Linked DNA regions of Danio rerio. The protein of the gene in region 4 interacts with the protein of the main gene of each other region in a biochemical or structural test. Links are inferred from orthologs where the notes say so. Each region holds a gene or a part of one and is shown on either strand. Other genes may lie near its edges.

The links. The genes of interacting proteins can lie anywhere in the genome.
Region 1: the proteins of sqstm1 (region 4) and prkci form a complex in vitro, tested with the Homo sapiens proteins (4 studies listed by BioGRID, with this or other methods). The link is inferred for Danio rerio from reciprocal best matches to the Homo sapiens genes SQSTM1 and PRKCI.
Region 2: the proteins of sqstm1 (region 4) and dnajc10 interact in a test that uses a peptide from one of them, tested with the Homo sapiens proteins (2 studies listed by BioGRID). The link is inferred for Danio rerio from reciprocal best matches to the Homo sapiens genes SQSTM1 and DNAJC10.
Region 3: the proteins of sqstm1 (region 4) and rnf168 form a complex in vitro, tested with the Homo sapiens proteins (2 studies listed by BioGRID). The link is inferred for Danio rerio from reciprocal best matches to the Homo sapiens genes SQSTM1 and RNF168.

What each region holds. Positions count from the first base shown.
Region 1 is NC_133177.1:40,363,723-40,369,826, reverse strand, and holds part of prkci (protein kinase C iota type), read left to right. Parts: intron 1-4,102; coding exon 4,103-4,224; intron 4,225-6,104.
Region 2 is NC_133184.1:46,685,948-46,692,051, forward strand, and holds part of dnajc10 (dnaJ homolog subfamily C member 10), read right to left. Parts: intron 5,519-6,104; coding exon 5,436-5,518; intron 5,330-5,435; coding exon 5,198-5,329; intron 4,709-5,197; coding exon 4,615-4,708; intron 3,666-4,614; coding exon 3,588-3,665; intron 3,491-3,587; coding exon 3,447-3,490; intron 3,341-3,446; coding exon 3,209-3,340; intron 3,112-3,208; coding exon 3,022-3,111; intron 2,767-3,021; coding exon 2,656-2,766; intron 67-2,655; coding exon 1-66. UniProt on the Homo sapiens protein: Endoplasmic reticulum disulfide reductase involved both in the correct folding of proteins and degradation of misfolded proteins.
Region 3 is NC_133190.1:4,300,804-4,306,907, forward strand, and holds part of rnf168 (E3 ubiquitin-protein ligase rnf168), read right to left. Parts: intron 3,642-6,104; coding exon 3,471-3,641; intron 3,269-3,470; coding exon 3,177-3,268; intron 3,070-3,176; coding exon 2,994-3,069; intron 1-2,993. UniProt on the Homo sapiens protein: E3 ubiquitin-protein ligase required for accumulation of repair proteins to sites of DNA damage. Acts with UBE2N/UBC13 to amplify the RNF8-dependent histone ubiquitination.
Region 4 is NC_133189.1:19,139,485-19,146,113, reverse strand, and holds the start of sqstm1 (sequestosome-1), read right to left. Parts: upstream 4,467-6,629; 5' UTR 4,337-4,466; coding exon 4,168-4,336; intron 3,893-4,167; exon of another isoform or gene 3,650-3,892; coding exon 3,554-3,649; exon of another isoform or gene 1,451-3,553; coding exon 1,119-1,450; exon of another isoform or gene 1,040-1,118; coding exon 898-1,039; exon of another isoform or gene 445-897; coding exon 364-444; exon of another isoform or gene 251-363; coding exon 72-250; exon of another isoform or gene 20-71; intron 1-19. UniProt on the Homo sapiens protein: Molecular adapter required for selective macroautophagy (aggrephagy) by acting as a bridge between polyubiquitinated proteins and autophagosomes.

The DNA of each region.
Region 1 (6,104 bases), on a different chromosome or scaffold from region 4:
CATCAATAGTACAGTGGATAGAAAAACTTGAATGTATATATAGAATGGAGTATATGACTGCTCAACTTCAACTAAAACTGGATATTTTAAACAAAGATGGGCACCTGTTACATTGTATCTGAATAGGACATAGAATTTCTAGCTCCTTTGAAACTGAAAATATTGTACGTTTGTTTTTGTTTTTTTGTAATTTATTTTGATTTACATCTGCGGCTACTGTGATTTTTTTTTCTTTTAATAATCACTGCTGTCACTGAATGTTCTGTTCTGTAAAATGTTTTAATGTATAAAAATAAAGTAAAAAAAAATAAAAAAAACAGCTCATTAGGCTACTTGATGTTACAAACTGCTATTTTTTGTTATGGTATTCTACTTGGTTTTACAGCAAGTAGTTTGATTGTTTTCTGACATTAATTATTTCTACTCACTTCTCACATGAATCAGGAGTTCTAAAACAATCGCAAAAACGAACACACTTCCACGTCAAAGAATAAGGTCAATGCTTTTTAGGTTTAGTTTGATTAAAAGAAACTGTGATAGTTGCTATGTTGGAATAAGTGTACATCTTAATGAGTCAGTGACTGTCTGAGATCTGTCCCCCGCAGAAAATATGATTTAAAAGGCACAGTTTGTATTGTAAATAACAAGGCTTTTTGTCCGTAGAGAGAAAACTATGTAACCATTGAGCAGCTCCTGTAAGTAAGGTTACTGTTGTCTGTTTTATTTTCTAAATGAAGTGATTTTTCTCTTTAATACAGATGTTGCCAGTTTATTCCATAATATTGTTATCTGTTTGACAGTAATGTCTATCAATGAGATGGGTTTGGACATTTAAAAAACGTAAAAAATCTGTATTGATTGGTCAATATGTTTTTTTTTTCAACCTTTTGACAGCTCTTTTAATTTGAAATAAAAAAAAAATATATATATTTATTGTCCCCCTGTTGGTTAGGGGTGTAACCGATCACGGTTTGTTAGTGATCTGTACAGATCACAACCCACAGTTCGGAACGCACATGTTTAATGACGGATTAATAACTTTTGAAACTTGTAGGTTAATCCAACATTTATAACAATTGCAGACAGATTGCCTCGAGTGTCATTCAAATCACATGTATGAAAGCATCATGGCTTCCTTGTGAAATATAATGATTATGGATTACGGTTGTGGTGGGACCTACGTAAATGCTTTCTTAGGTTATTAATTAAAAGTGTTTTCTGTCACTGTTTAGCCTGAATTAATGCATTCAGTGTAAAGTGCTGCATTCAGATCTGTGTTTGACCGAGAGAGATTCAGTTTTTACACTTTCAGTTCGTTACAAGCAATTAAATAACACGTAAGTACTGGGAGAAGAGTTTATAGTTCAGATATAGACACTGATGTTTATGGTAAAGACTGAAATCCGGTTTTAAAAAATGATAAAACTTTAATGAAACATGAAACTTTAAGTGTGAATTGTTGAATCATTAATTGAAAATAAAGATGATTTTCTGTACAATATGTTATATTTATATATTTAGCATCATCAGCAAAAGTAGCAAAGATCATTTTTCGTATTCAATATTTTCCTTTTTTTCAGCCGGTTGTTTTTGATTTTAGATTTTTATGAAAATTAAAGGTTCTAAGTTCTGTTTGTTAAAACCAGTGGCTTTTGCACTAATATTTTTGCATAAATTGAAAGCAATTGACATTTGTCTCCTTCCTTTTTTTGATGATCCGAAAAATGGTCCGATCCGTGACTCAAAAACTGTTGTGTCATCTGAACCTGGTGCAGTATAACTTAAATGAATGTAAAATCTGGCAGTCTTAATGTGCAGCAAACACTTGTTTTTTTAATTGTAGTCATGATGTTGCCAGGTATAGTTTAATACCAGAGTCGAAAATGCTGCAATGTTAGCATTGGTAAAAAGTGCCACAGACCGCATATTTACCATTTTGGAAGTTATATATTGAATTGTGTTTTTTTTTAAAAGATGCTGGAAAGTTTAAGGTCATATTTTAAATGTGTTAGAGTTATTTTTTAAAAAGTGTGGTGTCATTTAATGATCATTGTTTGCTTAATGTAGTGTCAACTGACATTCTATAAGCTCATCAGAACTATAAATTGTTTGAAGTTAAAACAAAGTATGAGCTAAACTAGTATGAAAGCACCTTAAATGATGACATCATTTCAGCGAACTTTTCCCTTTAATACACCTATTGTTTGCTTTAAAGGAATGGTCATATTTCCTTGTGTGCTATTCCTAGTATAGTACTTGACTTCAGTCCCCGTAAGCTTCCTTACAAATTCAGGTTCAGAAAATCGTGTTTGAGTTTCTTGTAAGTCGTATTTGACCATGGGACTGAATGTTTGCTCATCATGCTTGTTGTTGTAAAAGCAGTGTGTACTGATCCATGTATGCCCTACAGAGGAATGTGGCTTCGCTGCTTCCTTTCAGAGATGCTGCGCTTTCACAGGATGCATCTCTCACTACTAACATAGTGGGCACAAAACCTTCAGTTATATGCCAGAATATTGTTATATCGTTTATGCAATGATAAGAGTAAATCTGTCTCTCTCTGTAAATATGAACTAAACACTAGTAGTTTAGTAATGCGGAGCTATCATAATCTCAGAGATATTTGTCACAGGACATGCATAACTGCCTTTTATGTCTCGTACAGTAGCTTAATCGTAATAGTCCTGGATCAGATAAAAGCAGCACTTTTTTTTTTTTTGTTCGTCATAAGGTGATGTGTGGGATGGTTGCAGTGGCCGCTCGCAGGCATGTGTGGGTCAGTGCACTGGCTCGTAGACAGGAAAGACTCCCTGCTGTTAATAATTAACCAAAACAGTGTGAACTCGGTAGACAACAGAGAGTAAGAAGCTGCTGTGTGCCTCCTGCTATGGGAATATGCTAGTATTACAGCTTCCTTGAAACTCGCCATCTCTGATACTCCATGTACTGTGTTTTTGGTCTTAAAATGTACTAATATAGTATTTAGATTTCTTTTATTATCACACACAAAATTATTTATCATATTTTTAGGAGGGCTGTGCATTATGATGGTATAGATATATATCGAATGGTCATAAAATAAAAAATGTTACCCTTTATTGTTTATTTCTTGGTGTAATAAATTATATTGTACACAGTCGTACTTTTTCATACTTTATATAAGCACAATATTGCATGCTGTTACAGGGATGCAGATAGAAACATAAATAACCAATGCTATCTCTAGATAATTCAGAAGTTTTTGATTTAGTGGATGGGGTGGGAATTCTTACAATCTCACTGGTACAGTTAAGTACAATTTACTCATCCCCCAATGATGTTGTGTTTAGGGGTGGGGTTGGGTACCATGACTGACAATGCAATTTGGAAACAAATGATGGAAGAATAAGTCAACATGCCTCAATGAAGAAAAAGTTCGAAGTGCATTTTTGATGCATAATAAGTTATAATGTAAATTACTCTGCTTGTAAACCTGTAATCTAACATTAAGTTTGGTTCATGTGATCAGCCAGATAAGTGAGTACCGATCAAATCTGATCTCCAGCCGATTGATCAGTGCATCCCTAATATATATTAGAGAACTATTAATTGATTAAATAAATTTTTCCTCTCGCCCCACCTTAATTTTTCAAGAGTAGGGCTGCACAATATATTGTTTTAACATTGATATGGAAATATGTACATCTGTAGTAGTCAGATTGCAGGATCTGCAATGTTGAATTTGTGAATATAGTTTACCATGAGCCACAGTTATTGAAGATTTATTCCATAATAAAGCAAAAGTTTTTTATTTGCATGTGTTTTTCAGGCCTGTGATTAAAGCATATCAAGAGAGTTTAAAGCATTCAGGCATGAAAATTGTACCAGTCTTTAATAAAAAATATTCAATTGATTTATTTATGCAATGAAATCTAAGCACTGCTATTTTACATTTGATTAAATTCTGTATATGGTTTCATACCAAATCGAGGTATTTAAAGTCATCTGGGGAAATTATATACACATCACAGAAAAACAAAACATTGCATTGTCAGATTTTTCTAATATCCTGCAGGCCTAAAATGTAGGATTTTAATGAATGTCACTTTTTTTTCTGTTTTAGGGACATCATGATCACACATTTTGAGCCTTCGATCTCCTATGAGGGACTCTGCAATGAGGTGCGTGATATGTGCTCCATGGACAATGACCAGCTCTTCACCATGAAATGGATTGATGAGGAAGGTTTGTTGTTTCATTTTTGTGTCTCTTTGCTCTATTCACAGTAGGTGTTTGCATCTGTCTCAGGTGATCTGATCTCAGTCAGTCGAGACAGATTGACATTTACTCCTGGTTAACATGAATCTCCAGTGACTTCTTTAGATCAGGTTTCACTAAAGAGAACCTCTCACTCGTTTCATGATTACACACAGCTTGTTAAACCAAAGAGAGCTTTTACTTGTTAAAACTGAATTTTGGCTATTACAGTTAATTGACCCATTTTTCTAAATGAGCTGTTTTATAGGCTATCGTCTTAGTTGCTTGAGAATAAGGGTCACTTCATGAATAGTTTAATGTTTATTTTACTGTTTAACAATAAAATGCACTTTTCGATGTTATACTAATGCTGAACGGCCATATTAGTGCCAGAATTAATTCAAGACATGATTTTGCTTGCTCCTAGTTGATTCAATTTAGGTATTAAACATAGCAATACTCAGATAGGCTGTGGTGTTCATACGATGCTCGATTGGTACTAATGGGCCCAAAGTGTGCCAAGAAAATATCCCCCACACATTACACCCCCACCACCAGCCTGAATCGTTGATACAAGGCAGGATGGATACATGCTTTCATGCTGTTGACACCAAATTCTGACCCTACCATCTGAATGTTGCAGCAGAAATCAAAACTCAGAGCAGGCAACATTTTTCCAAACTATATTGATGAGCCTGTGCAAATTTTAGCCTCAGTTTCCTGTTCGTAGCTAATAGGAGTGGCACTCAGTGTAGTCTTCTGCTGCTGTAGCCCATCTGCCTCAGATTTGACGTGTTGTGCGTTCAGAGATGTTCTTCTGCATACCTCAGTTATAATGACTGGTCATTTGAGTTCTGTTGCCTTTCTATCAGCTTAAACCAGTCTGGCCATTCTCCTCTGGCATCAACAAGGCATTTGCACCCACAGAACAGCTGCTCACTAGATGTTTTTCCTTTTTCAGACCCTTCTCTATAAACCCTAGAAATGGTTGTGTGTGAAAATCCCAGTAGATCATGTCTGAATTCTTTCAAGACAAGTTCATTCAATTTAGACATTAAACATAATAAATTTTTGTTATTATCATATTTTAATATGTTATTGCATCTTATGCAATATGTAATTTTGTGTTGTATGTCCTGGATGCATCAGCATTGATGATATAAATAAAGTGTGTGTGTTTAACTAACCACAAATGGGATTCGAGTCATCACAAAATCTTTTGCACTTTATTTGAACCTGCATTTAGTGCTGTCCGCTTGATCAAATCCCTTGAGACAGATGTTAATGCCAGGTGTAAACGTGGCCTTTCCTTCTGTTTCTTTAACTGTCGCCGTAGCAACAAGCTTCCTCCTGCCATTCTGCTGAAGCGTCTGCCTCATTTGCACCAGCACTTTATATATTACAAATGAAGCCACTTTTGGCAGATTGCATTAAAGTCTCCGAATTACCCTGGACTCCACCGGCAGAACTAAAATAGATGGCTTTTACATGAGGAATAATGCGAATCTGAATGCAACACACAGCAGGGAGCGGGGTTTTATGCTGGAAAGATTGACTGCGCGCGATGATTAACTGCTGCATTAGTCATGCGAGATGGGAAATGGAGATGGAAGAAAATTCATTTAAATACCAAAATCTTCACCGTGCCACGCTGAGCCCAGAGTCACGCTGCTCATTAGCATAGCTGATCTGAGCGGGCCGTCATGGCGAGAAGTTAATCCCGTCTGTCTGCGCAAGCCTTGGCAGCGATGCCCGCCGTCGCTCATTGCCTTCTCTGTGATGTTTGATTGAAAGCCGTGTGCGTCTGTGCAAGAAGTTGGTGCCACAGGCTACTCTTCAGACAACAGCATTGACGTCAGCTTCGTACA
Region 2 (6,104 bases), on a different chromosome or scaffold from region 4:
GCAGGGCTTATGTATGTACAGAGAAGAACACAGCTCAGAATCTGAGATGCAGTCCACTTTCCCCACCTGTGCAAACAGATTAATGCAATGAATCAAACACATCATCAGTTATATGATCAACGAACTGTGTAAAACAGCAGTAAAAACAGAGGTGTTTTCAGAATGCATGTTAACCTATTGTAGTTGAGATTCAAATAATATCATGTATTTTTATTTATTGTCAGCAAAAAAGGCTATTTTCATGGCAAAAAAACTATTTCATTAATAAATAAACAATTAAAAAAACCCAATCAAATAAATACATAAATTAGATTAATTAACGGTAATACTTGATAAAAATTTACAGGTGGCACTGCTGAATATCTCCTTAAGTGAGTTCATTTCATAAAAAACCCTTCTGCAGTGGCCAAAAGCAGGCTAGTCCAATAGCAGTGCTTCCCACACAGACTTTACTTGGGTAGGGAGAATAAAGTATATTTAGTGGCACATTTTGTATTTTTTCACTTTCATTAACATCCGTAAAAAAATGTTTGTATACGCCCAATATAACCAAACATCTGTGATCCATTAAGTAGTGGAAAATCTTCTCTCGTTTAACCGTTTCATTCTGTGTTGCTGAGAACTGTGAACACTCCCACAAGACGTCCCTCTCACGTGCTCTGCAGACCCACAGAGATGTTCCTTTTAAGGATTAAATCTCCTAAAATGTCCGGGATTCAACTTTGGCTTTTGCTCTCTAAAGCTTGTATATGTTTTTTGCATCGCCTTTTTACGTAAGCCTACTTTTTACTTGGCTTCGCAGCTGACTGTGCATGCACAGTAACCAAAGAGAAACATTAAATAATTAATTTTTCTTTTTATCTAAATGACTCACTGAAAAACTAAAACGAAAAACTTTACTATATACTTAGAGAGGGTGAAATGTCTGGTCTAAATAAATGCACGTTTTTAGTAATGATTAAAGGTGCAGTAGCTGATTGTCTTCTGAAAATTATTTTGTTGTGCTGGTTAAAAGTCTCTTCACAGTCCAATTCACCTTATTCTTTGCCGACGAGCGGGCGCAGCCATTTTAATCTTTTTGGCTCGAGACTTCCGTTCACTTCCATTCATTTTTAGACATAAAAAACTGCTCGTTTTGCTGTTTGATGTTGCAAACTGATATTTTCTTATTATATTCTTCTACTTGGTCTGTATAGTCATGCAAACATTTGTTTGTAGAGCAAGTAGTTGGACCGTTTTCTTCCATTTATTATTCGTAGTCATTTCTCCCATAGGCGACTGAATCGGAAGTTCTAAAACAATCGTGAAAACAGGCGCACTTACTAAACTGGATAAACTAATAAATGTTCATCCAGTTAAATATTGTCGGGCCGACATCTCCCATAATTCCAATAAGTAGCTCAAACTGTCTGTCAACAAATGCAGATTTGGCTTTTGCGCATCTGTTCACGCATATCCGCCATTAGCGTGTGCACACATAGATAATCGTTCATGACAAAAGCACATGAGACAGTCACCTCTGCGGCAAAATCAAATGCTGAATTGAAACTTTTTAAACTCCTGAATGAATATTGGAGTTACTTTTGCACGCTGGAGAAAGGACGATACTATGGCTAAAGTATTTCTGTTAGACAGGTAATGTTCTGTTTTAAAACTATTTTAGCTTCACACAAAGCTGATGCAGATGTTGTCGCTTCAAATGGGTTATATGCACAGAAGTGTTGTTCACCCACTGAAATCCTTGATTAATATGAGTATTTTCAGTTTCATAAGGAACTTTTACAGCATTGATGATGTAGATTCTTCTTTAGTTTAACAACAAAACAGAAGTAAATAGCGCTATTCCGCCTAGCCTGCTATACTGAGCTGAAGTTGGTTTTATATTCACATTGGGTCATTTCTGAACAATGACAGCCATTCTGAACAATGACGCCCTGCCGATATTGTTTACCTCTACTCTGAATATTCATTTTGAAATAGCATGCAAGTATGGCTAAGTAATAAGTGTAATTCCTGCACGCCGCGAGCCAACCACTACATACACTTCTAACTGGCGAATGACATAAGCTAGTGGGTTGTCTGCTGTCGTGTTGCTATGCGTGCGTTCGCAATTTCAAGAGGCGTGGCTTTAAAACAGTCCCCTGCCGCCCAAAGCTAATATGCTAACCGATTAGCATTTTGGCAGATCACCTACTGCACATTTATCAACGCATTTGCCTTATTTAAATAATCTACAAGTTTTAATCTTGTAAATATGACAATTTTTAGAAATATTGTCTGTTTTTAGAGATATTGTCTGGGGTTAGGGTTTGATGAAAAGTACTCAAGCCGGGATTCGAACTCGGAATGCCCTCAAGTGCTACGGCACTATATGTCAGCGCGCTAACCACTAGGCAATTGCGCTGATTAAATTAAATTTTTTAAAACAGAATAATGGATCACTTTAATAAAATACTGACGTGCAGATATGGTACACGGCACTATATGTCAGCGCGCTAACCACTAGGCAATTGCGCTGATTAAATTTAATTTTTTAAAACAGAATAATGGATCACTTTAATAAAATACTGACGTGCAGATATGGTACAACAAAAGAATTAAAATATTAATAATACACAATAAATGTATAATTCATGAATAACATTTATCAGGAACCTGTATATGCGAGTTCTTCAGAAGAGCGTTGAGTTTTTTATACTCGTGTGAAGCCAAATCGTTGCGTCCAAAAGAAAAACTGACAAGCCATCGGTGATGGGCCAATTTATGCTGAAATGACAAAGTTAAAGAACATATTTAGACAATTATAAAAGTAATAAGGTATATTTCACGAAACTTCCAAACAGAGCCACACAATGATATCTGATCTAGTTAGTGCGTGTCAGTTAGTGTGTAAACAGAGAGATACTGCAGGTAGTGCTGGGTGTGGTACAAGACTACACTCACTCGACTGCAAACACAAACCTATTATGTACAGCCTTTCCTTATTCTCTTGATATGCATTGCAGTCACTTGCACTCTTACCTCAAAACTGCTCTTTGTGAGAATCTCCAGGTCAGGAAGATGCTGCAGAACTTGTGCATATATTTCTTTAGTATCCAAACTCTGAATAAACTGCAAGGTTGGTCAAAATTTAAATGAAAAACACCCAATTAGATCCGATCAATTAGAAAACAATGCATCTAAACAGGATATACAATAATTTACCCACCAATACACTGCCTTTCTGAGTGAGAGAACTGCCTGGAGGGAAGAGGGCTGTAGTGCTGGTATTGATTTCAAAGCTCTCACACAGATCCGCCTGTTTGGTGCAGTCCATCCATCCTACATTAACTAAACCGTCCTGTATTGTAGAGATTACAATGTTCATTTATGCTCACATGACAGTAAGAGCCATTATTAAATGTTTAGACATTGGAATTGAATTTAGTAAAACAGGGAACACTTACCAACATTCCTGCTAGCTTCCGTCTTGTCTGTGATTCCAAACAGTCTGTGAATGAATCTCGTTTTAGTGATTTTTTAAAAGATGAATAACAGGGATTTCTAACATTATTTCTAACATCTAACAGGATTAGTTGTAGTCTCACCTCCAGTGTCTGCACAAAAAGTTATCAACCAGCCGATTCTTTCAGCAAATGCTCGCTCAATCTCACTATAAATGTTGCCTAAAAATTAAATACATTATTAAATACACAGACAATGCTCAGCATGAGTCAGAGGCAGTACAATATTACAGCAGATAATAATATTTTTAGCTTCTGGTACTGTTCACTTGGCCATTTTATTACATGGAATGAATATGCCAGTAGGTAATTTACAATATTTATACACAAAACATTTCTGTAGTTTTAAAACTGGGATAAACACATAACATGCTAAGTAACACTTAGCACTACATAAAATTTATCAACAAAAAAAAATTTGTTAATTTAGCATTTAACCCCTTAATAAATACACCACTTTCATTATACACTCATTGGCCACTTTATTAGGTACACCTTACTAGTAACGTATTGGACCCACTTTTGCCTTCAGAACTACCTTAATCATTCGTGGCATAGATGCAACAAGGTGATGGAAATATTCCTTAGAGATTTTGGTCCACATTGACTTGAAAGCATCATGCAGTTGCTGCAGAATTGAAGGCTGCACATCCATGATGCAAATCTCCCGTTCCACCACATCCCAAAGGTGCTCTATTGGATTGAGTTCTGGTGACTGTGGAGAACATTTGAGTAAATTTTCTCTGTTTCAGACCGTTCTCTGTAAACCCTAGAAATGGTTGTGCGTGAAAACTCCAGGAGATCAGCAGTTTCTAAAACACTCGCCCGTCTGGCACCAACAAAAATCACTTTTTTCAAAATATCCCCATTCTGGCATGTCTTGACCATGTCTACATGCCTAAATGTATTGAGTTGATGCCATGTGATTGGCTGATTAGAAATTTGCATTAATAAGCAGTTGGACAGGTGTACCTAATAAAGTGGCCAGTTAGTGTAAATAACAGAATCATAACAATCTCAAAAGAACATTTAACTAAAACACTTGCATTAACTCTTTATTTACTACATCACCTTTGGCTTTAAATGAAAATATAATTATAGTATTAAATACCTTGCCATAGTTCCGTCACTTTACTCTTCACAAACTGCATTGCAAATTTGGTAAGGCTTGATTTTGTTCTGTCATTGAAGTATTTCTCAGGATTCTGTTGGCAAGATTATGTTTATTATTTTGGATGACTACAGACATTAAACATATAAATGAATATTACATTCATTCTGTACATACACATGAATTGCATACTAATATATAATTTGAGCATCTATAACGCAATGTGTGTATCTGCAATAGCTAAATCGCAGGATTAGATTATTTATTAAAGATTAAAAGATATTATTAAATATAATTTATTATTATTAATACAATGATGACCATAATAATTTACATTTGATTGTTCAATTTCTGTACTTGAATACTGTTAGACTCCCCAGAAAATCATAAAGCACTGTTTAGTTATAATTTATGCTGATGCATAGCATAGAAAAAGTCTTGATCCTTCCAGGTGATATAAATGAAATAATTCCAAATAGAGCTAATTATATTAATTCATATTGCAATAAATATAGCATAAAGACTAAATATTGCACTGTAAGATTTTTCCAATATTGTGCAGCCCTATGGAAAATGCTCTTACCATTCCTGCTCTGAACACATAGAGGCTGGGGTAACTGTTGATGCCTTTACTGCGGCACAACATGCCATTATCACCACAGTTCACAGCACCTATCCGAATCACACCGTCCATTTCCTTAGCAAACTCCCGCCACTGTAGGGTTGATTCACACGTCAGTCAGATACAGTACAGTGTGACTATAATAATGAAACGTGTGAGGAGAAAGTGATTGTAAGTGGGAGAGAACAGAATTACGCACCGTAGGGGCAAGATCGTGACAGTGTGAGCAGCGTGGGAAATAGAAATTCACGAACCAGACCTCCCCAGAATTTACAGCTGCATCTGTGGATAAAGACAAAACCGGTGTGTCAACACTTAAACACTGGCAGAAGCTGCTCAGGAATCTATTTGACCACTGCAAGATCAGCTTAAAAGAGGTCATGGGTGCGTTTTAGATCTAACTTGATAATTAACAGGCTGTTGAATTGAGTTTTTGTCAATAAATACTAAGCACATTTCCCCCTCCAATTCTCATTGGTTAGTATTAAAAAGACAATAATATTTCTTTTAGTTTGCCTGAAACAATTTAGTTTTATTTAAATTTAAAAACTGCTACAATCAATATTTTTAGTCCCCATTAAAATTATATACATACGTTTAAACACACAAACACACATACATAGTTCTTTTTAAGAACTTTCGTAATTAACATAATTAACTTCAGATAATACTTTAAACTGTCCTTTAAGCAGAATACTAGTAATTTATTTAGCCAAGTAACTAGTAAAATATGACATACTGTCATCATGGCAAAGACTAAAGAAACTAGTTATTAATATGCTGAATTAAATTCATTACAGGCCGATAGCGTTGCCTTTGCAACCTTACTGGCTAGACGACTTATTCTTATGAATTGTAAAGTCAGCAG
Region 3 (6,104 bases), on a different chromosome or scaffold from region 4:
AATGACAAATTTGACCTCTTCCCAACAGGGAAAACCGAAAATTACAATCAAAATACAAAAAAAAAAAACAATCAAAAATTCATAATAATAGGGTGTCATGACTTTGCAATGAAAATATGTCATTATAAAGAAAGTCAATGGGGCAAAAACTGTCACCAACATAATGAAAGGGTAGTACATTTGAGCCGTGTGTATTGATGAGATGAAGCATTTTCCCAATATTTGTTTCACAATAAAATTTGTTGACAGAAATTATTTCATTTGCTGAAACAGAAAAAGTTGTGGCCAAATTAAGACTGAAAATCACCCCAGAGTGGATAAAACATCCCCAAAAGCACACAAGGGATAAATTCAAATTAGGGACATCTCAAGCTGATTAAAATTTAACAGCAACTATTTCAGCTGTTTTTGGTCAACACATTAAGCTGAACTTCCTAACAAAAAGCAGCGTGGCCTATGAGAATTAGGTGAAGGGTGTTGTTCACATGCACATTTGACTTTTTAAAGCACCATTAATTTCAAATCAAACACCTTTGTAATTCCTACCCCAGCATATGTAGCCCCATAAAAGTTCATGCTGTAGTTCGCATTTCATTTATAATTAATATATTTCATAAAAAATGCCAAGAGTAATTTTGAAAAATCTACCATTTTAAAAGTTATGTTCAATTTAATACACTTTAATTTAATTCACTCTAATACAATTTGTAATACTGGAGACATTCAAATGCGGTAAACGTGCATTATGTCTGTTATTGTGCAAGATTTATAATTTAAAAACATCTCTGCTTTTTCATTCTGTTTTCGACAATTGAGTACAATTGTTGAAATGAAACCATAAACAAATTTAATATAAGCACTTTCAAGGACCTATGTTTGTTTTTAAGTATTTTCCGGGTCTTGAATCCATATGTCTGAAATTCAAGTATTTTTAAATACTTTCAAGTAGTGTAGGAACCCTGTGAGCACAAGACCAGCCTCTTAAAGATCATATAAAAAGCTTAACTAGAATAAAGAAATTATTAAATTTACTCTACCCTCAGACTACAAAAAGTGGTGGTCTGTATCAATTTTTTTACTCCTGTTTTCCAGTGTGTATGTCCAAACTCTAAAATCAAGATCCAAGCAAGGCTGCAACTAACAATTATTTTAATAATCGATTAATCTGTCGATTATTTTTTCGATTAATCAAATAAAAAGAAAAAAGAAAAGCAATCATTTGCAACCCTTTATTTAAAAATAAAGATATATAATAATAATAAAAAAACTAGTTTTGTCCTGTTTTCAATCCAAATATCTTAAGGTTTTTAAATGAAGATACATACTAGACACATAAAATAGCATAAGAAATCACTTAACCTCAAAATTAAGTAACAGCTTGCTTAAAACAGGAATGTCAAACTCAATTCCTGGAGGGCCGCAGCTCTGCACAGTTTAGTTACAACCCTAATTAAACACACCTGATCAAACTAATTAAGTCCTTCAGGCTTGTTTGAAACCTACAGGTAAGTGTAATGGAGCAGGGTTTGAACTAAACTGTGCAGGACTGTGGCCCTCCAGGAATTGAGTTTGACATCCCTGGGTTAAAACAAGCTAAATTATTTGCCAATGGGGTAAGAAAAAATATCTTAATAAGATATAATCTCAAACAAAAGTTATCAGTATCACTTCATTTTCTCATGCCCTTTTTCTTGTCTGTTCTTGATGGAAGATTTTTTAGATATTTAAACTGGAAACGAGACAAAATGACTAAAAAAACTTTTCTGCAGTGCAGCTATACATGACTACAGACGGAAAAAAATGGCGAAGTGAATAAAAATGTGTCTTTGGTCTTGAAATGCAAAGTAACTCTACCACCGCTGCTTTACTGCTGTTATTAACTCTTTCACTGCTGAGTTTAAAAGATTCTCTCTGGCCCGGGAGTCAGTTTTTTTAGAACATTTACCCTTAATGTTTCCATGGCGACGTACAGCCATGTATGACAGATGTATCCCTTTTATTTAATTTTTTTATTAGTTTTTAGTTTTTTTAATTCAACATATTTACACACTTGCTCATCATGTCATCAACTACCCAATATTCCAATTCACATAAACGTGTAAGTGATCGTGATCTATTGACCTTATTCTAAAATGCGGAAGTGCGCCTGTTTTCGCGATTGTCTTAGAACTTCCGATTCAGTCACCTATGGGAGAAATGACTAGGAATAATAAACGGCAGAAAACGGTCAAACTACTTGCTCTACAAACAAATGTTTGCATGACTATACAAACCAAGTAGAAGAATATAATAAGAAAATATCAAATTGCAACATCAAGCAGCATAATGAGCAGTTTTTAATGTCTAAAAATGAATGGAAGTGAATGAGACCGGAAGTCTCGAGCCAAAAAGATTCAAATGGCAGCACCCGCTCATAGGCGGAGAATAAGGTCAATAACGTGGCGCTGAACTCTGTATCAGTGCGCGAGAGACAGAGAGAAGCCGTGTGTGCACTCCGCTTCGCGCTGAGCTAAAGTTTTCATTATTTTTTTTTTTTTTAATCAAACGTCTCCATGTCGCGTGACACGACGAATCGATAATGAAATTTATTGCCAACGCTTTTAGTAATCGATTTTTATGGATTTAATCGATTTGTTGTTGCAGCACTAATATGTAGTCTTGTTTTCAGACACACTGATCTAAATCATGCGAGTTTAGGCGTCAACTCACTTTATTTTGTTAATTTTCTAATTTTCTCAGACATTTTTACTGCATCTAATGCGATAACGTCATGAAATAGAGGCTTTATTGCTTTAATTTTTGGAAGGGTAAATTTAGACTGCAAAAAAAAAAAAAAGATTAATTTAAATACTTTTTCTTTACAATTATGTATTTCAGATTTCTAAAATGAAACTATGCTCTTCAAATGTTATCAGTTTGCTTTATATCATATCTAAGAAAGATTTCTGTTAATTACAATAGTAATAATTTCATTTCATTCATGCATAAATTACCTTATTAGCCATCAGGGAGGAGTCTGGGCTGCTGTCAGAACTGCTTGGCTGTTTATGAGGCACTGGACGCAAAAACCTGGCATGTAAGAGAATGCAGTGCTTTTCATAACAGCTCTTTCATCACATTTAACAACAAAAACCAGGATGACACTGATGTACTTGGGCTCCACAGCAGCTACTCACTTCTCAATATCCCCCACACTTGGTTTCTTCTTAGCTGGCGTAGCTTCGGCAGGTTTGATGTTGCATGTTGATTCAGAGGCTGGTCCTGAATTCTGCTCAAACAACATAAAATAGATATTAAATAGCTCCAAATTCAAACCGTTTCAATGAGGGTCACAGAGCAAATGAACTAAACCATGCAGTATAAAACGGTCATTTATTAATGTCTGTTTAATGTCCATTATGATTTTTTTTTTACATGTTTGAGCAGAGAGGAGTGTGTCAGTGAACGTGTCTCGGCTCTTGTAATCTCACCAGTTCTAGGCTGAGCAGTCTGGCCAGTTTCTCATCGTTCTCCAGCTGCAGCTCTTCTTTGCGTCTCCTCTCTTCCTCCAAGCGCTCCTCTTCCTCTGCCAGAAGCCGCTGGATGTACTCCTCGCTGGCTCTCCTTTCAGCCTCCTCCAGGGCTCGCTTCTCCTCCACAAGCTGCACAAAAAAACAGGAAATCAGGTGATTAGATGAATTTTGACTTCATATGCGCTGGTGCACAAGACATTGCATTGTACATTAAAGAAAAAAAATCTGAAGGGGTCATATTATAAATTGTAAAAATTAAAATATATACATAAATAAAACTTTGAGGATGGACATTACTCACTACTATTTTTTGAGGTCAGGTAGGTTTTATTTTAAACCTAGCTAGCAACCAAATGTGATAGTGGCAGGGCTCGAAATTGCGACCATTTTGGTCGCATATGCGCCCGAAAATTTATCTATGCGACCTCATAATATATCTGGGAGCATTAGTGCGACTGCAGATAATGGTTGTAGTGCGACCTGTTTTGATTTTTTGTAAAAACGTGCTGAATCGCTCTTCCCTGCCGCTATATTGGTTCATATTAGCTGTCATTCACTCACGGTATTCCGCTGTCAGATGACAGGGAAGGAGCTTTTATGACCACGGGAAATGCAAACGGCTGAAGAGTGAAAACTTAAAGCACACAGGTTTGCAAACCCCACCTAAAGTTGAGGCGCAGATAAAAGCGATCATGACACGTCACGTGGTGAATAATGATCCGCCAGCTGAGATCAATCGAGTACGCGCTTCTTGGAGAAGGTGCCTGAATCTCCATGCGTTGCATTCACTGCGTGTTCAGCGCAAATGTCCGCTAAAAGTCAAATCTAATACTGTACATATCATCGCCAAAGAAGCTCGCCTTTACTAAGGTAACACTGAAACTGCGGCTCATAACAAAGACCGGTATTGCGCCGATGGTTAGCGCAAGAATCCTGCTCAACCTGCTCATAAATTGGGTCGGCTGACTCGCCAGCTTTTCCACAAACACAGAAAAATGAAGATCACCTTAGACTGAACCTTTAAATTGACACAAACTGAAACCAAAACTTTTAAAGAGTGATAGAAGTGAGACTTTACTTATTTTCTTTTGTCTATTCTTTTTTGAGGTGTATATTATTTTTTTATTTATTTACTGATGACTGCTTTGCAGCTTTCATCATTGAATTGAATGATTTATTATAATATTTTGTTTGTTTTGTAGCAGAAATATTATTTATTAAATTGACATGCATATAAAAACAGCAGTACAAAATAAATATTTCTTACTGCAATGCTTCATTTGTTTGATGCAATCTATACAATTATTTTTCATAAAGTAACAGACTTTTTATAGCAGATAACCTACATTCATGCACATTCAAGGCAGCACCATAATGAGAAATGAAATTCATTTTTACTATTATTGTCATTTTTTATCATCATTAATATTCTATGGCCTAATTATTAGACATTCATTTTGGAATTATTGCACACAAATATCAATGTCTTCACAGCATTAGTTAGATAGTTGTTTCTAGTTTTTGTCAGTCCTATTAATGTTGTTTTAAAATACAATAAATCCCTTAAAAAACAATTTGCAGCGGTGCTCATTCATTTTTGGTGGGTGCTCCTAAATATTTGAAGTTGGGAGCACCGGTGCTACCAAGTAAAAGAGTTAATTTCGAGCCCTGTAGTAGAGACATTTGTAATGTTACAAAGATTCCAATTAGATGAGCATGTTGAAATTATTTCTAGTTTCCTAAGGCTGCTTTCACACCTGTGAATCGATTCAGTTGTTCCGAAACAGAGATTACAATTGTTACATTGTTGCTCTTTGCTCTTGGAGCGGTTCGCTTTCACACTGCAAAGTTTCTAATCGGAACAAAAGAGCTAAAACAAGTCACGTGTGAGTAAACTCTCCTCAACTTGGTCAGAGTGTCAGGGTTTATTTTCCAGTGTCCCGCTAAACTGTCAGGAGAGGTGGTGGTTTGGTGGTGATTGACAGGGTGCGCACGCGACGTGTCTGAGGGGAGATGCGGTGGGGAGGGGTGAGAAGGGTGCGTGACGATGCCTATTTGAGGACCGGGAGGGAGACGCAAGATTACCGGGAGATCATCACTAATTGCGGGCATCCGGAGACCAGTGAAACTTCCCGCCATACTCGTAATGCTCTCTTCATATAGCCATATGCCTATTACATATCCATAAAACACTGTGATATAACCGCGCTCGGATCGGATCGCTTTCTCACTGCAATCAAACCGCTCCAGGGGTCGTTTCAATCGAGCCGAGACCACCTCATTCAAGCGATCTCGGAGCGATTACTTTGGCGCGGAACAGAGCGCGATTGCCCTGTTCCACGAACCGCGCTAACTAGGCAAACGAGACAGGTTCCGAAACAAAAGTGTAGGTGTGAAAGCACCCTAAGACTGAGGTAATAATGCTGAATTTAGCTCAATCACAGCAATAAATAAATCTGGAAAAAAAAATTTAATATTTTAAAAAACTAACTGTAATATTTTACAGTATTTTTATTAATCATATGGTTTGTATAGAAGACAAACTTTAAAAATCTTAAGGATCCTGAACTTGAAACTTTAATAAAAATACTA
Region 4 (6,629 bases):
ATATGTGGCCTCCTTCTAGGTTGAAAACTTGAGACGATCAGGCCTTTTACAGCTAAGAGGGTATCTGTTACCTTTGTTCCCTCACTGACGCTCTCTTCAGTGGCCTGACTTCCTGGACCAGAGCCTCTAGAAAGAAGCCCCACAGAACCACTGTCACTCCGAGCACTGGATGGTCCACTGGAGGCAGGAGGAGTTGGGGTTACTTTGGTCCGCTTTCCCTCATGCTCAACATCGATGTCCACATCTATGCCTACAAAGGAAAAATCACTTTTATTTCAGAGGTTTTGCCTAACATGCCAATCAAAGAAGTATCAGATTGTGTTGGAACCAAATATTTGGGAAAGACCAAAGCAGGCGACTTACCAAGGGGGCTTAACATGGCTGCCACTTCTTCTCCGATGTTCTTTAGGTACTCCACGTTAGCCTGAGAAGAGGCAGTAGCACCTATAAAATAATAATTAAAAAAAAAGAATAAAGTCAGGAAAATTTTGGACATGCCCCAATTCTGTTCCAGTTCCTCCTGTTACAATAGACCAGGGGTGTAAAACTCAGTTTTTTGAGGGCCACAGCTCTACAAAGTTTAACTTTAACCCTAATTAAACAAACCTGCTTCACACAGGTAAGTGGGCTTGACAAAACTACCTGTAGAAATCACACTCCATCATTTTGACACTTTAACCGACACTTGCATAAGACACATTACAAAAAAACTTTACATTTGAAGTGTGCTTTACACAGGTGAGTGGGATTGACAAACCACCTGTAGAAACACTCTTCTTTCTATAAAAAAACACACAACCTACTCAGTTTCAGGGTTGGAACTAATCTCTGGAGGGACTTCAGCCTCCAGGAGCTGAGTTGACTTCTGCTATAGACCCTTTTAAATGATTGGCTTACCATTCTCATTTGGGTTTTCAGGAGCATCCTGGTTTTGCTGCGCTCCAGATGGACCTGGCTGAGGCTGGTTTTGAGCCTGAGCTTGAGCATTTGCCCACATGCAGTGTCTCATCTTACGCCAAAATTTCCCACGAGGGAGCCACTGCACACAAAAGATTAATCAAACCAAAATATTCAGATCATTTGCAGTGTATTGTATGTAGTAAAATAGTGCTATTCACCTCAAACACGTTGGCCATAGGATGAAAGATGGGCAGGAGGGCATGCTCCTTGTGCAGGCCTTTGCTCTGGCAGGTGGGGCACAAGTCATAATCGGGGCAAACGGTGCACTTGTAACGGGTTCCAGCCACCGGCCCATCACACCCGTCACAGGTCACACCTGGGTGCACCATTGGGTGAGGGTGGTGAGGAGGACCCCCCATATGAGGTGGTCCTGGAGGCCCCATTGGAGATGGACCCATATGACAGGGACCAGGAGGGCTAAAGTGAGGTGTAGTGAACGGAAACCCAGGAATTCCATGAGGAGAAGAATCACGTTTGTGCTCTTTTCGTTCTGAAAAAGAAGGAAATAACATAATTGCTATTAATTGAAGATGTCTATTTGCAAAAGATCTGAGATATTCAAAGGCTTGTATGGTCAAAGTACGTAATGATGAATCCAAGATGAAAAAGTATTCACACTCTTTAAATCTAATGTCATCATTAGACGCTCTTTCCAATCATGTAATCTTTCCAACCTTATAAACTGTGCACATGTAAGTGGCAGGTGTTTTAGTTTTATAGTATTCTAGTACTCAAATAACAAGAGTGAATCCAAGAACCAATCAAAATCTTCACAAAAGATCCTCACTAGTATTCCCTTATGGAAAGAAAAAGGTTTTCAAAAATATTTACCCCCCCCCCCCCTATTTGAATAGGGCAACGAAATATTGTTCTCTACAAAGTTTTATTGAATCAATCTCTGATAGACTCCCCATCAACCAATCACTGTTTGCATAGTTATTAAAGATGCTGACGTCATCCAGAGCAACAAGGTTGACTACGCCTTTTGCTCTTAGCTCATGACTTCTCTCTATTCCTAAGTAAGTTTGTCTCAGCAGCTTGAGAATAAGAGAACGCTTACACATGGAAGTTAAGGATGAAGAATACACTTTGATATTACAAATACAATTACTCCAACTGCTCTGAGTTAATCTAGTCTTCATAACGCAACAACAATGTTTTCAAAGCCTACTAACTTGGATGCATTCAAAAAGTAGCATGCCAGAATTCGCTGTATCTAGTAATATTCCAAAGAATGCATCAGATGGAAAAATTTACCTTCCCATGAGATCATGGAAATGTTTTGAGAATGGCAGCGGAGCAACACAACTGGTAGATGTCTTTTGTAACTTTACGTCACTTCACAAATATAATGTGAATGCAGTCGGTGCAGATTGCATTCATACTATATAGAACACGCCTGAAGCTAGTTATTAAAAGCACCACCTACAGAGAGTATGTGATTTTGGATGCAGCCAAATATGATTGTTTGTTAGGTTCGCTCTGATATTCCCGTTTATGGTTTCCTTGTGACAACAAAATGGATTTGTAGATTCTATTTAGGCTTACATTTACACTTAAAGTCCCAAAGAGTTGCACCACCCACACATTATTGACACTTCACTGTGTGTACATTCACGATAGTCAAACTGCAGGATTTAAAGTAAGGCGGTAGCAAAGGCATCACAAAACAAATACAATGTGTGAATTAATTGTAAACCGTGACAATCACGAGTGAAAGTTTATAATTTGCATGGGATTTTAAGGCCTGTTACTCTGTAAACAATATAGGCATATTTACAGAATTTAGGTTGAATAAAATATTAAAGGTTAACAGTATTTTATTTATAGAATAAATACTATACAGGATTATTTTAGATTCGATTATTTTCCCCCTAACATCATGCAGCCCTGACAAACACACACTGAAGCCACGGTCTATGCGAACTTCTAAAGTATTTTAGTGACTTCATAGATCTGGAAAAAGAAATGAAAACCACGTCTTTGACCCTTATGAGGTATTGCTAGCCTAACTGCTACCTTTAACACAGTCGTTTTGTTTTTTGATATTTATTTTTAACAAACATAGATATTAAAATTACCATCTAACATGCTAAACTCAAACTAAAGTTTGTTTGCGGCGAGTAATAAAAAGTTGCAACAGATACATTCCAAAAGCAAATTCAAGACATGGTTCATCCCAAAAAAAATTCACCCTTCCTTGACTTTTTTCCCCCTTCAGCTAAAGAAAAAAATGGTTTTTCCTACTATGGAAATCAATGGTTACTGGTTTTCAGCTTCCTCTAAAATTAGCATTTTTTATTAGGCTCCTGTGTGTATGTTCAGCAATTTCACTTTTATAGAAACTATTCTCAACATAAAAGAGGCTGAGAAATTCCAGACAGCACTTATATATTTTTTTTTTTTCAAAATGTAGAAATTCTATAACTACTTCAGTGGGCGAGTACATTTTCATTGTTGATTAAACCATCCCTTTAAGTCTAATGATCATTTAATATGTGCAGGAAATTATATTTACAGGTATAACATAATATTCTTAAATAATCGAAACCCCTTCCTAAAATGGTAGTTATAGTTTGTGTATGTTACTTACGCTTGATGAAGAGACGGAAAGTGTCATCCTTCACAAGAGCCAAACCCATCATTAGCTCATCGTCAGAGGAAAAGGCAATCATATCACCATCTTCATCTAGAGACAAAGTTCAGGAAAACAGAATGGCATTTCTGCTGGTTATTATGATTGTCATCATGTTTTGTCTGATTAAAAGTTGATTACCACACACAACAATAACAAAAGTTTTTGCTGTTTTCTTTTCAGTAAGCACAGTGGATTTCAAATATTATGCTCATGGCTTGTTTATTACGGCCTAGTACAAACGTTCCCCATCAAACTTTGTACTTGGATGTAACAATAAACAAAGATGTTTCACAATGCAGTATCCATTTTAATGGCTCAGTAATACTGAACATAGAAAGACATAAAAATCTGCAAACTATGTTTCTCAATATGTACATTTATGTGCGTTTTCCTCAAGTTTTTTATTTCTAATATCGCTTCGTGAAATTTTATTAAAACTTCAAGTAACGTAGATAAATATAAACCGCCATTTCAAGTAAAACATTGAAAGACGACACAAACACACACTTGCTTGTGCAATAAATCAGTGTTATTAAAAAAAAACATTTCAGAATTCAAATTTGACTCACCTTTATAGTACATTTGGAAGGGCGCAGTCCTGAGACCGACAAAAACATCGAGCACTTTTCGCTGCAAATACTCGAAACTTGTTGAGACATCTTGATCCACGGCGAAGCGACGGATCTCCTTGTTGCAGTCCTCCTTACCGATAAGGTAAGCTTTCACTGTCATCGACATCGTAGCGGAAAATAGCTTCTCTCCCTGAACCTCTGGAAGTGTTGCGCAGTAGAAAATGCGTTTCTCGAGCACGGGACTCTGCGTTGGCTGCGTGAAAATGCGTTTCCTACTTCAGCCGACAGTGCTGTATATAAGCCTTGTACGTCAAATGCTAATGCAGCCGAGGAGCCGGCCAATCGTTGAGAGGAGCGCAAGTTTGGGGGCGTGTCTTCGCAGAAAGATGTCCACGTCCAGCGTCATTGCAGGACGGAGTTCATGTTGTCTGTGATCATGTGAGTCACATTTGAAAACAGAATGGACGATTTTCGGTGATCCGAGGAATGACATGGCAATATGATAGGGGAAATTCCCGCTGAAATCATAGGAGTGGATTAATGCCAAAAAACGCAGTGTTATATTCAAGGGCTATAAACATACATGTTCTGGATGTCATGTAATACTTTATACAAATTGTAGATTTATTTGGCTTAATTTTAGTTGTTTTAAGAAGTGAATATCAAACAAAAGTTCTTCTGCTATACTGTAACAGTCTCACTGTTAAACATTACCCACATCCATTTTTTTAAATGCCTACATATACAAATGTGTGGTAATATTTTTGTTTTAGTACAAGATAAACTTGGTTGCTTTGTTTGAAATCCAGTTTCTCATAATACAAGCTCTACTAAGCCCTGCAAGTTTGATGTGGTTGGTAAGAGGTGTTGTGTTTCTGCTACAGGTGCTAAACAAAGTGCTGCGTCATCATGAATGAAGTAGCAGTCGCCATTTCCTTAGGAAATGTTTGTCAAATGTATACTGATCAAATTTTAAGCTTAAACCTCTAGGAAACATTACACTACCAAACTTACGTTGTTTATAATAAGGAAACAACAATTTGCCAATGCTTAATGCATCCGTTTTTTTTTCAGATTTTTCTTACCATATATAACCATTTTACTCACCACAACCTCATTATATATATATATATATATATATATATATATATATATATATATATATATATATATATATATATATATATATATATATATACATATACACACACACACACACACACATATATATATATATATATATATATATATGTATATATATATATATATATATATATATATACATACATACATACATACACACACACACACACACACACACACACACACACACATATGTATGTGTGTATGTCTGTATATAGAGATTACAAATGTTTAATGTACATGATGACAATCTAGTATTAGTAGTTTAGTAACAATGTTATAACAAATATTAATTAAATTGTAAATGCATTATTGTTCATTGATATGTATATTATATTAAAACAGCAACAGCAGCAATATTAGAGTAATAATGATTATATGCCTAGTACTAGTAGTAATAATTATTATTATATACAAATATTAATATCCTTATTTTTATTTATCTACACATACATTAACTTTGATTTATCCACATTTATTGATATAACAACAACAACAATAATAATAATAATTATTATTATTATCATTATCAATAACATTAAGAAGATGAAGAAGTTTCTTTTATATAGCTCCTTTCTAAAACAAGGCTACAACATGCAGTCTCCAACAGTGAGACAGCATAAAGAAGCTCTTACTACATTATGCATAACAAGATACAGAACACGGGTTCATGAAACCTTCCAAAAAGAAAGATTATTATTATTATTATTATTATTATCATCATCATCATCATCATCATTATTATTTAATTAATTAGGATTTGTATGACCTTGGATGTTTTGGCCATATGACTGCAATGTGATTTGAGATAGAAAAAAGGAGACTAGATATGAGTATACAGGTGAGAGTGACACATCACGTTCAACTTTGACATGCTCTCTTATTACTCCAAATTTCCCTGGAGTGACTCTGTATTCTCTAATATTCTCGAAGTGTCCTCACGCATCTGATTGGGGAAAGCATGTTGTCATGGCTGAAGGGCGTGGTTTATCACCTGATTGTGACTCACGCGCTCATATGATTTCCTTTGTTTACATCAGCGTCACTGGAATCAAATAACACAGATAATAAGCTCAGATCCACCAAACCATTTTCCCAGCAAAACAGAACATAGCCAACCATTATGAACACTTCATTTGTTTTGTTTTATGAGTAAAAATATAATTGCATATATTCACTCGGTTTGGAAAGTTACACAACTTTTTATATATATATATATAACTGGTTGCCTTCTCTTAACGTTACATGTGTTACTGTATTTATGTATGAAGGTGTGTTTTATATTTAGACTATTTGGCCAAAAATAAAGAGAAAAC